Oryzias latipes: one gene and its partners. The protein of the gene in region 3 purifies or fractionates together with the protein of the main gene of each other region. This does not show direct contact. Links are inferred from orthologs where the notes say so. Each region holds a gene or a part of one and is shown on either strand. Other genes may lie near its edges. The genes, in order: sf3b2, pop1 and protein lin-28 homolog A.

Region 1 (6,403 bases), on a different chromosome or scaffold from region 3:
AGAAAAGTATCCTGTTCAGGAACTGGTTTCCACTTTAGGGTCTAGAAAATACTGGACAGATACCCCTTTCTGCTCTGGTTTCATGACGACAGGTTGAACCAACATCATGGATTCTTGTGCTGCATGTCTGCAGACAATTTTCAGATTTTCTAATGCTGCTTAAACAACAAATATTCTGTTATCTGACTGAGTGTCATTGGAGCTTACAGGTCCTACTGGCATTCCCAGAGCAATCCGCAGCTCATCAGACAAGTCTCCTGGCTTCTTCTCCTTCAGACGAGTTTCAAACTCCTTGCCCTGCAGAAGAGCAACACAACAGACACAGAGTAAACCAACCAAAAGCAAGCACTCCTCCAGATTAAACACATGAATGAAAGTGAGGGGAATCCTGCACCTCATAGTAAAGGTCACCATGGATGGTGAGTTTAGGTTTGATCTGCCACTTGAAGAAAGCATCATGCAGCTTCTGGTAGTCGATGTCAATCTTTCCCATTTTAGGACGAACCTTCTCCCTCATTTTGGTCTTCATTGTTTTAGCGTCCTCCTAGAAACAGATTATCGCAAAGTATTATAATTTATATACATTTAAAAAAAAAGCACAAGAATCTCTTCCCAAAGATGTTAACATTTACATCTGTACCTTCTCCTGCAGAGCCTCCCTCATCTCTTGGATTCCCGTCCTCCGGATGAACTCTGGCAGCTCAAACGGAGGCTTCTCAATCCCTCTCTTGCCCTGCAGATACTTCCTCTTGAAGCACCAGTGGCGAGGCACAGGAACTGTGTTCCTGGTGGCCTTTAGGTGAACCAGCAGCTTGGGCTCCTGTGCAGTCACATCGTGCATCTCCACAACATCTGGACGAGCCACCAGCTGGAAAATGTCAAGAAAAGAAAGATTATTGTAAAGAACAACACTTCTGTGGGACAACAGAGCCACATTGGTCAGTACCTGTTTGAGTTCAGCTACAGTGAGCCGGTTCATCCGCCGCAGCTTCTTTTTGGACAGTTTAGGAACATCTTGTTTGGCTTCCTGTACACCCAAAACATTTTGTGTTGATCTTGAAATGTTTTTCATCTCCGAGTTGAGTTTCCAAAGGAAATGATGCATACCTCATCGCTATCATCGCTGTCCTTCCTCTCCAGCTCAAACCCCTTCTTCCGCATCATACCCACTGGTTCCAGCTTTTCAGTTTTCTCTGGCTCTTTGTCCTTCTCTTTTTTCACATCATCAGTTAACTTTAAAACAAAAAAAATAAAGATGCAAAGCAAAGCACCAACATAGCTTCTGTCTGTGTACAATATGCTTAAGCTACCTTAAATGCCTCAAAAATCTTTTTGAAGAAGATATAGTTGGGGTCGTAAATCTCCAGGTCCTCTGTGATGTACTCAATCTCCACCTCTGTCTCCTTCTCCTTGTCCTTTTGCTTGGTGCTGCTCTCCTTTATTTGCTGCTCAGCCTGTTCCTTCTTCTCTTGCGCTCGCTTCTTCTTGCTCTTCTTTTTTCTGTTCCTGCGCTTGCAATTTTTCTAAAAAAAAAAAAAAAAAAAAAAAAACATTCAATTTTAAAACCCTCTGTCAAACACAATTCTAAATATACTTTAAACACTATACAAAAACGAAGAAAATTGGCATCCAAAGTTGTTGAATTTGATCCCCCTTACATCTTTTTTGGACATCTGGCCATCTTCGTCGTCTTCAGACATTACTGCTGCAGAAGAATTTGTTGCATCCATATCTTCAACATCATCTAAAACAAAGCAAAGGGAAGTAAAAACAGTGATTCTTTCTCCAAACGTGCTTCCTAGTTGCTGACAAGCTTCAACCATCTTGATTAAAGTTTTAACTATGCTTTTTTGTTTTGGTTTTATAATCAGTAATAAAAAAAATCACACTTAAGGCAGATCAGGTTCTGTTGAAAAAAATAAAGCAAAAAAAAAAAAAAAATCAGACTTTAAATTAAATAACCAAAAAACACATATCCATGCTATACCCTAAAATAAAAATGTTTTAGGGGCCATACCTTACGACAGTAACAGTGAATGTAAAGAATCTGGAGATATTTTATTTTGTAAGTCTAACCTGCTGGATCGACAAGCTGCTCCTGCCTGATCTCCTTCAGCTGAAGGATCTTCTCCAGAGCCTGTGGGATCTTGGGCCCGCCAACACTAATCTCTTCATTCTGCCAGATCTGCAGGAAGAAAGGAATTGCAGTTTAACACTAAACCAGCAGGTTGTCGCATTTTAATCAAAAAAGTTCAAAGAGTTTAAAAAAACTTCAAAAGAATCTAACTTTGCTTAAATCACACCAGAATTAGTGTTAACCTATGTCTAAAACAAAAATTAGAGAAGTGCAGGAAAAACGTACGTCTCTGTTATCTTCTCCTGGAGGGGGTGGCACCTTTTGTTTATGAGATGGCAACAAGGTGACACCAGGAGGTAAAGGCCCGTGAGGATCCAAAACTGAAACTTTGGTTTTGTGAAAAAAACAAATTTGTGATTGATAATGTAAAAATATACTATTAAATGCTGGTTTAACGTCAGCTTGCAACACTGTAGGAAGCAGAGACGTCTTCCCTTGACAAACATTTTGTGACATTGATCTTGAATGGAATCACTTGTAAAAGGTTTTAGGATATTCCACAAACCTCTTACTGCAGAGACAGCTGGCTGCATCTTTGCCATTTCATGATGTCGTTCTTGTTCCAGCAGCACGGCAGCCTAAGGAAGAAATGAATGAGAGATGCAAGCAATATAAAATCACAATAAGAAACAAAGAAAATAAATGTCTTCCTTATTTTAATTGACAGCTGAACAAAATGTGTTGTTTGCAATTCCTTACCCGTTGCTGCTGCTCCAGAAGTTCATTTTCGTCCCCCTGTTTTAGCCAAACAAAAAAAGGCCAATGTTTAGCAAATGTGACTGTTTAGGTGTTTTCTGTTAAAGGTCTCTAGTAAAAAATGTTGGCTTTACCCAAATACATTGAAAAATTGTATCTATGATCGTTGTTTTTACCTAATTTACTTTGTAAAACTTACAATGTTTAAATACAGTCCAGTAATTTTGTTTTGCCGAGTACTACAATATTAGCGATTAATGTGTCAAATGCAGCAGTTGGCCAGTTCTGCCATCCCACCTGATGCTTGGCCCTTTCTTCCTGTTGTAACACAATGGCAGCTCTCTGCTGAACCATTTTAAGCTGATCGTCCTGTGTGAGACCAGGAGGTGGCATGTTTGGATGATCCATTGTCATGTGCATGCCAGAGGGAGGAGCTCCAGGGGGTATCATGTTCATTGCTGGGATCATTCCCATCCCTGGGGGCATAGGTGGCATGGGCATCGGGGGCATGGGAGGAATGCTCGGCACCTGAAAAAAAGAAATGAAAATATTGTGAAAAGAGCAATAGATAGGAGGCTGACTGATATGAAATTAATCTTTTTTATTTTTATTTTGGGCCATTTATTTTTGCTTTTCCACCTGACACATTAAAAATTAGCTAAACATCACATGTCTACAGTCTGATTTATAAATTCAGAAGTTGAACAATGCAGATAAGTTAAAAACAGTCAAAACTAAGTCCACTCAATAGCCTTCATTAGCCAACCAATTATTCTTTGTTAGGCTACTAATGAAATGATTTCCCTTAGTTGTTTGTTGCCATATTAACTTGAGATTTTTGCAATTGAACTATTATCCCTATACAGCATACTAAAACATTTTACAAAATTAAACATACATAAATCCAGATAGACATCGTAAAATTTAAAAAACGTTCCACACCGTTTTAATGGCTCAATGTGAAGGGCTACAAGAGAGATTACCCAAACTATTGGTATAAAACCCTCAAAAACATTTTATTATTATCCATTTGAATAATAGTTTTTAAAATCAACAAGAAAAAAAATGAATTAAGAATGGGAAGTTGCATTTGTGTGGGTGTGATGTTGATTTCGAGGATGAGCTTACCTGCATCATGTAGCCCTTCAGTCTGTCAATGAGTTCCTCTCTAGAGCCTAAATTAAGAGAAGCACGACCATTGTATTTTATTTTAATAATAATTCATCGGTTTGGAGTTATTTATTAACGTAATCAGAGTACCATATGACGTAAAATACCAATTATTGATCACATTATTAGCAAATCCTAAGCAGTTCACAACAATGGAACTGTCGATCATCATCATCAGCAAAAACTTAGCTAGTTTTTGTAAGAAATCATCAAAAGCAATCAATTGTTACGTTTGGTATTCCAACTGTAAAATATTAGACAAAAACGGCTTTTAAAATATGCATATGAAAATACTAAACGGAGTCAAACCATTCTGCGGGCCTGTTGTTGGAGCGCTTTATGACGGAGGTTCAACGACTATGTGCTCCAAGCTAATGCTAGCCGTAAGCTAGCTTCAAAACAACGCGCTTTGATTTTTGCACTATATGGGAGCTTTTCTTACCCATTGTTGGAGCTCCTAGCTCCACCAGCTTCCCCTGAAGCTCTGGGACGCTCCATGTGTTTAATGCTGCGATTACACTACCTAAATCATTCGGGTCCGTGCCCGGCGGTCCGTCAGAAGCCATGTTGAGCAGTCGATCAACGGCGGTGGAAAAAAGAGATAAACTCGCGAGAGACAGAAACGAGAACAAGAAAAAAAAGCAAGGCATTATGGGAGAAACGCAATGGTCTTAGGGATATGAAGTTGTAAATTTTCCTTTAATTTTCCTACGGACGTCTCTGGGTGTCAGTGTTGGCCCGTTAACTGGTTGAAATATGATTTTTGAAAACGTTTTTTTTGTAAACAAATTGATATATTTGTGTAAATAATGTAAAAACGTTGTCCCATTGCTGCTACTACTACTGCTACTACAATGAATGACAACAACAACTACTAATATACTACTACTAAAGACATTGAAGTATATTCGCATTTTCTTTGTACTAGAACAAAATCAAATCCATGACAGGGCAGGGCTCAAATACGTGATGCTGTATAATTTGTTAAATTGATTTTGGGTTGTTAAGAATTGAAATTAACAGAAGTTACAAGTATAAAGGTAAATATGTGCCACAACTTTTTGTAATGTGAGCTAGTTTTCTGTATATATAGCAGGGGTGTCCAACTCATTTTCACCGAGGGCCACATCAGCATAGTGGTTCTCCTCAAAGGTAACTAAATATAATGAAAAATAAACGTAATTATTCCTTAATGTTAAATAACTCATTTATTTATTATAACTTGTTAAAGTGACACAGTTGCACAGAAAACATGTTTGCTTGTTACTCTAGCATAAATCCTTTTAAATTTTATTCTGTCAGGTTAGGTTATATTGACAGTGTTTAAGTCCTAATGTACAGTTGCCCAATCCGATATTTCTACTCCAATTCCCCTTAGATATGAATACACACCAAGTATTGTATTTGGCTCGCGGGCCTTAAGTTTGACAAGTGATATAGAGGTTGTGTGATTGCAGATGAGAGACAGGTGAGTAATAAACGGAAGCAGCTTGGGAACATTCTGGTTTGAGGACAAGGGCTGATGGGAATTGTACTATTGAAACCAAGAAGTGGTCAGTGTTTAGGTGATTGTTCCCACTAATGGGAGATTATTATAGTCCATTATTCCAGTCCAATGCATCGCTGTAAACCCTAATGAGTTGACTGAACTTAAAAATTATTGTGTAACAGATTACGCAATAGTTTTTAAGTTATATTATTAAAACTTTTAAGTTAACATTAATTAAAATTTATATTGTCAGTTGGCTTAAATTTGTATTATTTCATATTAAAAATATTAAGATTCCTCAACTTATAAAAGAGAGATTATTTACTCAAAGTTTTTAATATTTTCCAACTAAAAAAAACACTTCAACTAACTATATTTTTTATAATATTACTCAACTCATAAAATATGTAAAATTCACTCAAATGTTTTATAAATTTTTTAACTCATTTAATGTGTAGCATTGAAAATATTTAAAATTCTTCACCTTAAAATGTATGGACTTGAAATGTATTCTAAACAGATGTATTGATACTGCCCCATTACAACATTTTAAAAGCGAACATTGATGAAAACCAACAAACATGAAAGCCACACAATAGTGTTTGCTTAATACACTATTTTTAATTGCTCTTTTAAAAAAAGAATCACAAAAATCAAGAGGATGAAGAAACAATCAGTGAAATAAAACTGCATTATAAGGGTGCCACACAACTTATTGACAAAAAGTGTTGGTTTTGTATTGTACGGCAGAAAAAGCAAATGATCACAACAAAAACAGTTGCATAACACTTAAACCAACAAATAGTCCATTCTGGAAGACTCACTCAACGAAACATTCTTCAGCGTCAATAAATGTCCTTTCAGTGGTTTGCCGTCCTCAAGGCTGAAGACAGCATTCTGAATAAATATGA
Region 2 (6,414 bases), about 16 Mb from region 3:
TTTAAATGGATGATAAATATACTATTATTTTGACTGGAATCTTACAGAAATTAGAAATATTGCTGCACTTTTTATCCTTTGCACTGATGTAAACTGCTATAAACTTCCCGGTAACAGGGTAGTCATAAAGATTTTTTTATTTCACTTTTAGTTCATTCTGCACATTGTAAATCAGAGAATAAAAAGTGATTTTTTTAAAGTAAATTTATTAATATTAACAATTTTAACACTCCTTTCCAATTGTACCTTCTTGATTTTAATAACTGGTGCAACTTTCAGTAGTTGTAAATCGGTTTTTAAATGATGCACCTTTCAATTTATTATTAAAAATGAATGAACAAATGAGGCACTTATTATTAGTTGCAAATTATTTACTTTTGTGTTTTTACAATGAACGACACACTCTGACCTAAGAGCACTTTTGTATTTTGTTGTACATGTGACAAAAACAAGTAAATTACTGAATTCACTTCATTGTGTGCTTGAGAACTCAATGTGAAGGGCAGATCCGAACTGATCCATGAGACAATAATGTTCAAATCGGCTGCTCAGTCGCTGAGGGTGAGACTGGAGTACAAGGTCCTGCCAGGATTCGAACCTGGAACATCTGCATGGCTGGGCAGAGGCCCCCAGGAGCACAGAACCAGAAACGTACTCAGTGAAACACCCTCAGGACCTTTGGTGACCGACAGTGTTGCATTAACGTCTAGCGCAGCAGTTCATGTTGTGACATGTGCAGCATAACGACCCGCCCTCCTCCAGTCTGTCCAGAAGGTCAGATTTTACCTTGACTCTGGTTTACACTGGGCATTGCTTTAACCTTCTTTGCCGGTAAAGTCAATCTGGGGTCATCCACAGTCAGACCCAGCACCGTGCCAGGGGGCACCTCTCCAGATGAATAGATGCCTGCACATGAGACATGAAAGCAAAGTCAGTGATCAGGACCAAGGAGAGGAAAAAGCACAAAGCAGCAGAGCTCCAACCTTTCAGTGTCTTAAAGACCTCTGCTTGTTGTTGATGCAGATTCATCTTCCTCTCATCTCTACAGTGCTGAGGCCACCACAGAGAAGAAGCCTGGGACTGACCCGCCTCCTTAAAAACAGAACTCATCTATAATTTTGTCGAGTAGGTTATTTTTGATCAGGAGAACCCTTTCACAACACTCACATCACAGTCTGTGGCTGCCTCCAAGCTTTCTGTTAGCACAGAATGAGACTGAGGTCCGACCAGGCGGTAGCGTACCATCTCCATCGTGAGATCGCTACGACAGATGACCAGATACGTGAATGAAACAGAATCACCTCCTCCAAACAGTTGCTCAGTTCATTCACTGACTTTATTACGATTCCAGTTGAGCTGGACTTCCAGGTGACTGGAGTGTCGGGTGATCTGGTTCCGTCTCCCAAGATCTTCTTAGCAGGAGGTCCACCTGCGTCCACACGGCTCCGTTTCCTCTTTCCTCCAGGTGTCACCTTGGCTTTAGGGGAGACCTCAGGCTTTGGCTCAGACTCCAGGGTGGAAGCAGACTCTGCAGGTGTGGCCACTGGGATAACCGGGGGCACCACCGCCTCAAAGCACTCACACACTCTTTGCAACTCTGGGAGAAGATCCTGAAGAGGAACACATCAGCTGAAATCAACCAGCTTGCTGTGACTGACTCGACACTGACTGGTGTACCAACAACCCAAACCCCCCTGTGAGGATTTAAAAGCAGCCGTTTACCTGCTTCAGAGCGGGATGCGCCCAGATCCACAGCTGCCTGCTGGCTGAGCCTTCTGCTCGAGGTCTCCAAAGAAATGTGACGGGGCCCAGAGGGTGTGAGGGGTACTGCCCCGCTCTGTACACCGTAACGCTGCCCTGTCTGCACCCAGACAGGCACAGAGCTGCAGCAAAGGTAGGGCCTGGAAAAATGTCAACCACAATTCAGAGTTTTATTACCGTACTTAAAGTCCCACTTTGATCATCTTACGATCTATTTTCAAGTGTTCCCAGTGGTCTTTTGATCATGATTGTGCTGAAATGCACTTTCAATCCAAATTTTCTTTATACATTTCCTGAACCATCACAAAAATGCCACAAGAACAAGTTAAAAACACCAAAAGCACCTTTTCATCAGGGTGGATCTTTAAATTAGTCTCAGAAAGTCAAAAAAGGCAGCCTGTGTTTTTTTTTTTTAACGTGGTAAAAAGAAAGTAGTAACAGCCCTCACCCGTCTCCTTGCTGGTCAGCTGTGACAGAGCAGTCAACAGCGTGTCCTCCTCTCCCTGCAGCTCAATGCAGCAGTAATAAGAAATGTCCTGCATAGATGAAAAAAATAACTAAAAAAAAGCAGTTTATCTATCTCCTGGATGTTTTCATATAAATAAAAACAGAGTGTTTTACCAGCAGCAGGCAGTGGCTGCTCATTGCTCTATAGCACGGCCGGTAGCACTTGCACGTTGGTCTGTCCCCGAGACGGTAACCCCACTTCTTTACCATGTGGAAACGCTTGGCGTGCCAAATGTGCGTCTCTAACCAAATGTTCTTGCGCTGGCGGCGATTGAACTCCAGCAACAGGTTGCCGTGGCGCCGGCGAGCTTTGCGGCTTTTACTCTTTGGTAGCTCCTTCTTCTTCTTCGAGCCGGCCTGGAGGCTCTTTTCCCGCTGATGGAGGAGCGTATGTGAGCGCACACGGAGCATGGATGAATCACTAAAGCAGCTGAGAGCATTTGCAGAAATTACCATTTTGCTCGCCACATCTCTCAGCCTGCGGGGAAGCCTCTTGGTGTTGTGGCTCATGGCGCGTCTCCTCATGTGTTTGGGCAGAGCCTGGAAGACATGGTTGCTGCCCGTTCTCTTGGTCACTGCTTTCAGCATGGCCTTCACCTCTGCAGCCCTGCTCCTGGCAAACGCTCCAGCTTGGTGAGGAGAACAATAGAAGGACTTTTAGGAAACTGTAGGAAAAAGGGGCTCTGACAGACCATTTATAAGGTTTCCCAGCATTTTAATTGTTTTTAGGAATTAACAAGAAAGTGTTTAAAGAAAAGGCATCAAATGGTAAAGGGAAAAAAAAAGAAAGCTGCCATCGCCTTTGTCAAATAATTTCCCAAATGTCATGGGAAATGTGGTTGATGTTGTGCATATGAAGGGATTCTGCTCATAAATGAAGTTCGTGACATAAACAACTTTTGCCTGTGTTTGCAGGAGTGAAGCGTCTCCTCACCGGTGATGTATTTGGGCATCTCCTTCATGTAACCTCCTCCTCCATCTCTCTGATTTCCACGAACCCATCCAGTCCTGGGAGGAGGGTTCCTCTGCCATCCTAGCAGAAAAGATCAGAACAAACAGCGTTTTGCTTTTCAAACCACTGTTTCCTTTAATGAGGCGTCAGACATGTGTGGTCAGGACATTTAGAGAATTTTAATGCAGAATATACAAGACAACACTGATGTTGTGTCTTTCTGACCAGCATCATCATGCCACCTAAATGTCAATCATATAAAAGGCTAAGGGGAAAAGCACACAGTGAATGCAGGGCTGAGTGGCCTGCCGCCACCATGTGCTGACCACGCAGCGGCAGTCCCCACTCGTGACAGTGGGCCGTGTCAATACCGGAGTCCTTCGCTTCTTGTCGTCCGTTCTGGCTGCTGCTACCCGCCGCGGCGGAAGGAGACGAATACTGCACGCTGGCAGGCTGGTTCTTCATCTTCCTGTCCCTCATCTTCACCTTGGAAGCAGACATTTTCTCTAGTCTTAACCGCCACAAAACATAAATAAAAAGAAGAAATCCCGAAAAAGTCCAAATAATAAGCCAGCTAGCTACGTTAGCTCACACTGAATCTGAAGTTTTTTCTCCCAAACTTGGATCTAGCAGACTGATTCAAACGTAACTTATGTATAAAAAAGAGGTAAATCAAAAATGTCTATCACAAAATTAAGTCGGATGCAGTTCAATGTTGTCGCTACAGCTAACAACCACATGGGTTTAATTAATGTCAGCTTACGTCGATTTGCTTCCGGGTTCGTGGTACTCTTGGAATTTGTAGTTCAGTTGCCGAAAAGACTAGCGAGTCAGGAGAAAACACGTCGACATAGCAATTTATCTTTTAGGATAGCGTTGTTTTTTTCTTGCTTCACTATAAATATATAATTTTACTGTAAAAAAAATTAAGACAAAATAACTTTCTTTAAAAAGTCAGGTACATTTTGCGACTGTTAGTTGTCATTTACGGTAAGGCGGATCCAACTGTTCTCCGTCGTTTTTTTCCCAATCTTTATTTATAAATTAGTTTCCCTTCGTGTTTTCGCCTTCACACGCCTGCTTTCACCCTGCATGAGTTCAGAAACATGTCTGCGTTAATCAAGAAGATCATCAGCACGACTAAAGCTCCTGCTGCCATCGGTCCATACAGGTGAGCGGAGTACGAATCCGACCGTCTCTGGACGGACACTACACCAAACAAACAAGTGCACGCTTCTTCACTGTGGACTTTACACCGCACCACTGTGGAAAAGTTTAGCTGCTGTTAACCATATTTCTTTAAGAAACTTTTATTTGAGTTCTAATATTTAATATAATTACAAATAAAAACGAATAATAAAAATCAAATGAAATTTGCCTAATCTTAAATTAATCTAAATGCAGCCTTAACATAATCATACCGTGTGTCCGCCCCCCCCCGCCCCCCCTTCCATTTTCCTTTTGATTTATTTCTTTGACCAACTCAAATTATTTTTGACTTTAGAGTAAACTTTTGTCTGGTCTCTAAAAACTATTAACCTGAAGCTTTTTTTGTTTTTTTTCCTCACAAAAAAAAAGCTTTCAAAGTAAAAGTTAGCTTATAAAATGAATTTAATCATAAAACCTACATTGCAGCTGTAGACATGATTTTTTATTTTTCCATGAAATCTTTTTGAAATAGGCTGATACTGTGGTGCTGTTGTCTTCCAGCCAGGCGGTGCTGGTTGATCGGACCATGTTCATATCAGGACAGCTGGGGATGGATCCCGCCACCACACAGCTGGTGGAAGGAGGCGTTCAAGCACAAACCAGACAGGTGACCACACGGCTTCTCTTAAAACATTTGTAGCTTTCCTTCTCAAACTACAAAGGTGGATTGTGAACAAGCTAAAGACCCACCTTTACGAAAATGAGTTTTTTTGGTGTTTTTAACATGTTCTTGTGACCTTTTTCTGATAATTAAGGACATATAAAGAAATTAAGCTTATAATAGCATGTCTGGGTATTTCTTCCAATTGTTGTAAATCAGGAGCAGATGCAAAAATGCAGCTGGAAAAAGCTTGTAAGTGTGGCTGACAAGTTACCCCAGTGGGCCACTAGCTCCCTGCCCCTCTCCATTCTGATGCATCCACTTGTAGACAAATAGACACGTGTGTGTCCTCATTTTTCTCGTCTGAGCTGGAATCTCCACGGCTCCGATATTGCTCGCCATTTTTGTTGCACCGCCAATGTTAGGTTGGGGATACGAGGGAACGTAAGCTAGTGGAAGACGGGGTAAACAGATGATGGAAAGGGGGCAGGCTTTCACGACTACTGTACTACTGTCGCTCTGCAGAAATTATGTCCTGGAAAACGACCCAGGATTCCTGGTTTTGGCTAAACTTGGCATAATCATAATTAAAAGAACACCGGGAACGCTTTGAAAACGGATCAAAAGATGATCAGAGTGGGACTCTAAAGTGTAACTAAGGTGCAGATTTTTTTTTGTTGAGCTACAGATCAAGGAACTTGAGAATCATGAATTGAGTATTTTCTTTCAAGTTGCAATGATCACAAATGCAGGGAAAAGAAAACATGTTGACTTCTCACCACAAGGTGAAGCAAATGCAGAAGGTTTTTTTTTTTTCATGGTGGAGAGAGAGATGCAGGTTCTAGTTCTACTGTGATGTGTGGTGGTATCCATTGATAATTCTTCCCCTTTTCCTTCAGGCTCTTGTTAACTTGGGCGAAATCCTTAAAGCTGCTGGTTGTGGTTATGAAAACGGTAATGAAGAACCTTTCATGTTTTTGCACACATTTGTCCCTGCAGTCATGCAGATCACGGATGTGTTTGTTTTCTGCAGTCGTAAAAACCACGGTGCTCCTCGCGAACATGAATGACTTCACCAGCGTAAACGACGTTTACAAGCAGTGTGAGTGTCCTGCTTTTCATGATCCCTCCAGGACCGTCGGACCTCCCAGGTTCAATGCAAACATAGCCTCTAGGTGTCACTAGAATCCAGAGTTACAATAATCTGAGATGAAATAAGTGGTTTTCTTCATAAATGACATGCTATTTAGTTGTCTTGTAGAAACTCTTTTAGACAGAGCTTGTCTTACGTGCATAAATCCTTTATTTATTTATTTTTACCTCCACGTAAACCTTCTGTTCATTTATGCAGTATTCCACGGCCCTTTATTCTGCGACATGCGTT
Region 3 (6,362 bases):
ATTAAAGTTACTCTAAATCTAATAGCAGAACTGCTCCTCAAAGGCTGAAACTGTCAATTGTTAAGTTTTGTTTTAAGGTGGCAAAAATGGTAGAAAATTTTGGGAAAGGAGAAAGTAGAAAGTAGGTTGGTCTGAATTCACCAGGGACAAGCAGATTTAAACAGTTATTGATCCAGGTCACACGTCAGGCATGCTGACGTGACCCCTGCCTGGGTTAGAGCTGGGGGGTTGGGATGAAGTAAAGGAAGAAAATTGGGAGAGAAGCGAAAACAGTTTGGAAAATCTCATGGAAACCAAACAAGACTTTTTCTGAACAGGTCATTTTCATTCTCCAGATAAGGCAACTAAACATTTCTTTACTGATTTGACAAATTGTTTAATGATTTAAGGAAGTACACTACTGTAGATTCATTTTTGTTGAATTATTTGCTCATTTCTGCTGCATGGGCATTTACAATTTAAAATAATAGTTTTACAACAGCATTGCAATTATAACCAGTTTCTAATAAAACAGTTTGAGGACATCAGTCAAAACTAAGTACATTTTTTTAAATACAAGGTGCCTTAAAATTGTTTTGAAGTCAGGTCTTTTTTAGAACTATAAATCTATTGCAATTGTCACGATAATCTTTCCCATATAAATGCTTTTATAAAATATATAGTTGGTTTGCTTGTTCATTTCAATAAATAAGTATTTCTGGCATTTATTCTAAGTAATTTTAATTTGCGTCAGGTGAAATTGGTAATGGGGAAATTCAAAGATGTAAATTTAAACCCCCTGTTGCTCTCCAATGCTCACCTGGAACGTCGCTTTTGGACCTTTTTGCCTTTCGGTCTCCGCTCGCTGCCCACACAGTAGATGCCTCCTGGTCCTGTGACTCGCTGGGACTCCAGGCCTTTTGATGACTTCTTGTAGGTAAACTCAACTGCTTCTCCCTCTTTCAGGCTGCGAAAACCTTCCATGTGCAGCTTACTCTGACAAGAGGGAAAATAAAAATGTTTATTAGTATGGAAGTGTTGGATGATGCGGTTTAAAACGTCACGGACATCATACATGTGATGGGAAGTGAGAAATACTTTAAACACATTTAAGGAATCAGATGTCCTCATCTTTCCCACATTACCACCACATTAAGCTTGCAGAGAGTCTGACCTCTGGGAACATCCCCCAACCATTCTTTCCAGCCTGATATCATCAAAGCCTGGTGGCACTTATCAGATATCTGTTAGTCTAAGGTGATCTCCAGTCCTCGCCTAAAAAACAAACAGCCCCCCACAATCCCCTCTGGTCCCTGTCTTCCTGGTTGTTTGTGCACCACCAAGACCCCTCGTTGTCCTTTCATTGTGTTGGGAGTGGTAAACCTGGCGAGGATAACCTTCACCCCCCCCCACCCCACCACCACCACCACTGGAGGAACAGCATTCCACTCTGCTGCCCCCACCCCCAACCCTCTTCCCACCCACATCACAAAGCTCCACTAACACACTGACCACCACCACTAACCCTTAACTACAGGATGCAGGGGTTGGTGCTCGTGTTGGGGGTGGGGTGACAAAGCAGCAAGGCTTCTCTGGGAGGTTGGGGGGTCAGGGTGACATTCTTCGGATGCTTGTTTGGCAGAGACAAGAAGGATATCAAGTGAGGAAAAGCACAAATGACTAATATCTCCCCAAATATTGCACCTGTGACCCGGTTGTTGTGTCAAAGGCGTGACCGGAGCTGTAAACTGCAAACACAGCTGCTTTATTTTCACAAACACGAGGCTTACCTGAGGTGGAAAAACATTTTTTTTTCTTCTCAGCCCATTCAAAGAACAATTCGGCTACCTAAAGCAATGAAGCCACCCAAGGAAAGGAAAGGTGTGGTGCAGGTTTAAGGATAAATCCTTTCAACTGCATAACTCCATCATGGGAAACCCCTCTGTAAAAATCCCTTGGTGCGGCTAAAATTAACCTGTCACGCAGACTGCACACTGTTGACATAGATGGAGCTGTGCATTAATTTGTCAGGTTTGTTTTGGTAGACAGTAATCCCTTCTCTTTGATTGTATTCTGAGCAAAACCAAATCTTTTGACCAATGCTCTGTATTTTTGTCTGAGGGGAATCAAACAGAGCACACAATATAGGAAGACGCATTCATGACTGATGGAACAAAAAAATAAAACATAGAAATCTGTAAAATGCTCTGTTCGACTATAAAGCTAAAAGGACAAACACGTTCTACACAGGGTTTAGCTTCAAGCACAGCTCCTGAACAGCAGGATGACACAACTGTTGAGCCATGACACCTAAATGGCTCATGAGAATTCGGCCTCTGTCCCATCAGGCCTATCTGCCTTGGTGACCATTAACCCACTTCCTCTCCCGTGTGTTACCATCCCCACCCCTAATAATGGATGCTCACCAGCAACAGCTCCAACAGCCGGCTCTGAGCTTCTATACTTGAAGGTTGCAGAGGTATAAGACGCGTGAGTTCTAGAAAATTTTAAATGTCAATTAGGACTAAGAAAGACATCAGAGCAGCGAGGGACAATGGCAGGACTTCTGCAGAGACAAAGAGGGGCTCTATCACGACTGAGGGGTGCTTCATTTCGGTTGCATGGCTCTATTGTCCACCTGCACAAAGAACGGATGACGTTGTCAAATCATCCACACGTTCACTAGTGACAGAAATTTAACTTGATTGGCATCTTTTTTAAGGATCCACGTGTCCGATGTGCACCGTAATTTTATCAAAACATTGTAAACCAAAATGAAAAATTGTTATTTTTACTCATAATGTGTCAGAAATGAATCCCGAGTTTGAAAAAGTTATCCTTTATAAAAAATAAAACCTCAAACATGGCAGGTTTAATGCAGGTTTACTCTCAACTGCACCAGGGTTTTGGTTCACAATATGAGTAATCAAGTGTATATTTCCTGTAAGTTTCAGTTGCGCCAATTCCACAGAGCATATATGCTTCTCTCAGTATGCATCACTGTAAAGAAATGCAGAAATAACAGAACAAAAAGCAGAGAACAGGAACAATCAGGTTGTGAGAAAAAAAGCTTCTGAATGTTTTAATGAAACAGATGTGTAGGAACAAGAATCTTTACCAAAATAAATCCTGGGGTCTTCTTCAAAGAAGATTCTTGGTTGTAAAGTATAGGTCTGTACCACACACAGAGGGGGTTGAAGAGACAGCCAGAGAAGCCTTTAATCACTTTATGACAGGAACTTTGAGGTAAAAGAGCTGCCGGTGAAGATGCCTCTCATTCACATGCTAAACCTTTATCTTATCAGGCAGAAATGGAGCTTCTCACTCTTACACAGCAAGAGGAGGAAAACCCCAACTTCTTCAGTTAACATTTTGAAGGTGGATAAAAAAGGAAATCTTTTTTTTTTCAAATAAAGATAAATCAAATATTTAAAGAATAATAAAAACCTAAAGTGCAGGGAAAAAAGGGTTGAGAAGAAAATAATACTTAAAAGTCTTTGGGTAGCAAATCAGGTACCACAGAGGAGGGGACAGATGAATAATAATACATTTAAAAAAATAATCTAGATATATCAGCTTAAAAATACGTTGGTTTTTTGTAGCCTAACTTGGTAAACAAAAAGCGTATTTAAATAATTTCAAATCTTTAGGACTACAATGGTGTTTTTCTCCATTAAAATGTCGTTTTGAGACATTTTAATTAAAAGGAGCTACATTTTTTTTGTCTCCCTCGCGCTGTTTTTGGGGTGAAAGTCTCATGGAGGCCCTCTGCTCTCCTCCAATCGATTTTTTTTTTTTTTTTTTTGCAGAAAATGGAGCAGCAAAAAAAATCAAATTTTGGAGCAAAAGTTCCTGATATTTTTCTGTTTTACGCACTTTGTTCTTGACCTTTTTATCCCCATACCTGAGGTAAACCTTTCAAAGTTTTTAGCATTTTCATACTGGGTGTTTGTGGAGGGCACAAGAAGTAAATTCGTTAAGGGAGCTCACCTGGTGGACAAAGACATCCACCGGCTCGTCCAGCGGCACTCCCTCCCGCTTGGTCATGGACAGAAACCCAAAGCCCATGCGGACGTTGAACCATTTACACACGCCGGTTCCATGGAATGACTGCGAATCCTCCTCTGTGCTCGGTCCTTCGTCTTCTTCTGTCTTGCACACTCCTGTGGATGAAAAAATGCGCGAGGGACACTTCAAACCCTGCGCGTAAAGCCAGGACGCACGGATCGAGCCAAAACTGTCATTTGCGTAACTTGGTACAAATCGATGACTTAAGTCGGAACTTTAGTGTAATTAAAAAATAAAACCTCTTAAATCTCCCTACACGTTGAGGCGCGTTTGATTAAAATTAATGATCTTGCAGGATTCGGCGCGTCAGAATTTCAGGAGTTGGAAGCATCACGTGTTTGAACAAAGCCCCCCAAAATGTTCCACTGCAATCGGACCGACAACGTCAGAGAAAACAACTTCATCAACTCGCAAAGTTTAGCGCATCAAGTTACTCAACCTGGGAACTCCTGGTTGGAAACAGAACCCATGTTCTTCAGGTCGGGTTCGGGTCAGAATCTACAGTCACGTTACAGTATCCTCTCCTGCGCGCGCACAAGGTAATCCTCGCAGATTGCCACTTTCATGCAAAATGCTGTGAAAAGCAGAAGCGGCACAGCAAGAGGGAGGAAAGCCAGGAGGGAGGTAAACAAAAGGGGGCTGGCAACCTATTCCTCCTAAACAATACGAGGTGGGGGGGTCACCGGGGGAGGAATTTCTGCTGAAGACCCCCACCATAATATCTGAAACAAAACAGCCTTCTCCATCTCTAGAAAGGACTTTTTTTCTTGTCTTTCTTTCGTTTTTTTTTTCTACTTAAAAAAACTCCCAACGTACCTTCTGCCATGTTTGTGGGCCCCCTTAGTCGCAGAGTGCGCGGCTGCCGAGCCCCAGATGTCCGCCTCCAAACGCGCTTCAAGCTCTCCTGCAGTGATCAAGCACTGCTGGTCAATATAAATGACTATTTCTTATCCAACAAACCCCCCACACTCTCGGTCATGTCCACGTGATTCACGATTACAGTCCCCAAGGATACATGCATTGTGTGATGGAGGGGCCTATCACAACAAACGCACATTTCAATATTCTCATATATATTTTTTCCCACATTGAGATCCTTTCTGCTGCAGCAGCAGCTTCAGATTTATTGCCTTTTAGTTTTCTGGTTTGTCGTTGGCATCATTTTTGCATAAACGAGTTAAACCTGCTGTACTTTTGGATGGTTCTCCCCCCAAATATTTATGCGTAAAACTGCAGGGAGACGCAAAAAAAAGGTCATTTTGACCAAAAGGTTTGCAAGAAAAGTCAATGAATGTCCCAATGAAAAATCTGGGACTTTTGATAAAATAATTGCCTTGGTTGGTAGAGTTAAGGATAAAAAATAAAACACATTTTTAGTGTTATTTTTATTTATTTTGTTGGTAAATCAACAACATATCTTCACACGGTAAGGAGGTCTTAACAACAGAAAATGGTCAAAAACAAATGCGAACGAAAGAGAGGAAAAACCCTGTCAGATGGAACAGAAGGACGAGAAAACAACGGTTGGATAAGTGAACACACGAGTGAGATGAAAATATGCAAACGAATTCATGGATCGATAGTGATTGATCACATCATGTTAAGATGCTGACTCGTGTCCTCGTGGAATGATGGATGTGCTAAAAACAGGAGATATCTGACCACGCCAAGAGTGGTAGAGTTGCAATGGATGGCGACAGACATATAAGTATTCAAAAAATGTTTTTTATATTCTATATTTTAATTTTGTTGCAGTTTTATAGTGAAAAAAAACAACAACTTTTTTTTAACTTTGTCATCAAACAACCTAAAAAAACCTCATGTTTACATTTCAGGTTAAAGTTCTGAGCAACTCTCTGAGAGACAAACTGTTTTATCTCGTCTGGTAGGTCAGTTTAGTTTTAAGGCCTACCGTCTGACAAAGAATGTGAAGTATGTTTTCTGGAAATGACCCACCTTTGTGGCGCATGATGGATGTTTGAGAGGCACAAGTGGGGAAGGGATCCCTGCGACCACAACGACCCCTTGTGGAGCTAGAAAACATGCGTTTTATGACACCTGAACGTCACGTGATTATTATTATTTTTGTTGGATGACTTTTTCACAGTAGCCTAAATGTAAAAATGATGTTTTCACAGAGCCAGGAAAAGGAAGCATTATGTTTAATTTATCACTACAACGGCTGTTCAAGATCTGTCCAATGTAGAAAACGGGGAAACAATTGCTAAAACATTTTTTTTAAACATGATTTCTTAATCTTGGAATCTATTAACTTTACAGACAGATTCTATAAATTGTTCCACTTGAAAGATGAG

Evidence for each region.
Region 1: the proteins of protein lin-28 homolog A (region 3) and sf3b2 purify together in Homo sapiens (affinity purification with mass spectrometry; 3 studies listed by BioGRID and IntAct, with this or other methods). This does not show direct contact. The link is inferred for Oryzias latipes from reciprocal best matches to the Homo sapiens genes LIN28A and SF3B2.
Region 2: the proteins of protein lin-28 homolog A (region 3) and pop1 purify together in Homo sapiens (affinity purification with mass spectrometry; 3 studies listed by BioGRID and IntAct, with this or other methods). This does not show direct contact. The link is inferred for Oryzias latipes from reciprocal best matches to the Homo sapiens genes LIN28A and POP1.

What each region holds. Positions count from the first base shown.
Region 1 is NC_019876.2:19,502,240-19,508,642, forward strand, and holds the start of sf3b2 (splicing factor 3B subunit 2), read right to left. Parts: upstream 4,650-6,403; 5' UTR 4,570-4,649; coding exon 4,446-4,569; intron 4,009-4,445; coding exon 3,962-4,008; intron 3,362-3,961; coding exon 3,131-3,361; intron 2,873-3,130; coding exon 2,837-2,872; intron 2,716-2,836; coding exon 2,643-2,715; intron 2,464-2,642; coding exon 2,363-2,463; intron 2,186-2,362; coding exon 2,077-2,185; intron 1,745-2,076; coding exon 1,659-1,744; intron 1,524-1,658; coding exon 1,311-1,523; intron 1,234-1,310; coding exon 1,108-1,233; intron 1,028-1,107; coding exon 947-1,027; intron 869-946; coding exon 641-868; intron 545-640; coding exon 395-544; intron 298-394; coding exon 208-297; intron 1-207. UniProt on the Homo sapiens protein: Component of the 17S U2 SnRNP complex of the spliceosome, a large ribonucleoprotein complex that removes introns from transcribed pre-mRNAs.
Region 2 is NC_019874.2:6,455,768-6,462,181, forward strand, and holds the start of pop1 (ribonucleases P/MRP protein subunit POP1), read right to left. Parts: upstream 4,132-6,414; 5' UTR 3,722-4,131; coding exon 3,592-3,721; intron 3,302-3,591; coding exon 3,203-3,301; intron 2,898-3,202; coding exon 2,722-2,897; intron 2,644-2,721; coding exon 2,383-2,643; intron 2,298-2,382; coding exon 2,210-2,297; intron 1,902-2,209; coding exon 1,723-1,901; intron 1,611-1,722; coding exon 1,336-1,610; intron 1,262-1,335; coding exon 1,168-1,261; intron 1,093-1,167; coding exon 984-1,092; intron 907-983; coding exon 787-906; intron 1-786. Other genes in the region: rida (2-iminobutanoate/2-iminopropanoate deaminase), read left to right, coding at 4,327-4,391, 4,931-5,036, 5,930-5,984, 6,064-6,132. UniProt on the Homo sapiens protein: Component of ribonuclease P, a ribonucleoprotein complex that generates mature tRNA molecules by cleaving their 5'-ends. Also a component of the MRP ribonuclease complex, which cleaves pre-rRNA sequences.
Region 3 is NC_019874.2:22,831,565-22,837,926, forward strand, and holds the start of protein lin-28 homolog A, read right to left. Parts: upstream 4,642-6,362; 5' UTR 4,518-4,641; coding exon 4,487-4,517; intron 4,143-4,486; coding exon 3,970-4,142; intron 976-3,969; coding exon 800-975; intron 1-799. UniProt on the Homo sapiens protein: RNA-binding protein that inhibits processing of pre-let-7 miRNAs and regulates translation of mRNAs that control developmental timing, pluripotency and metabolism.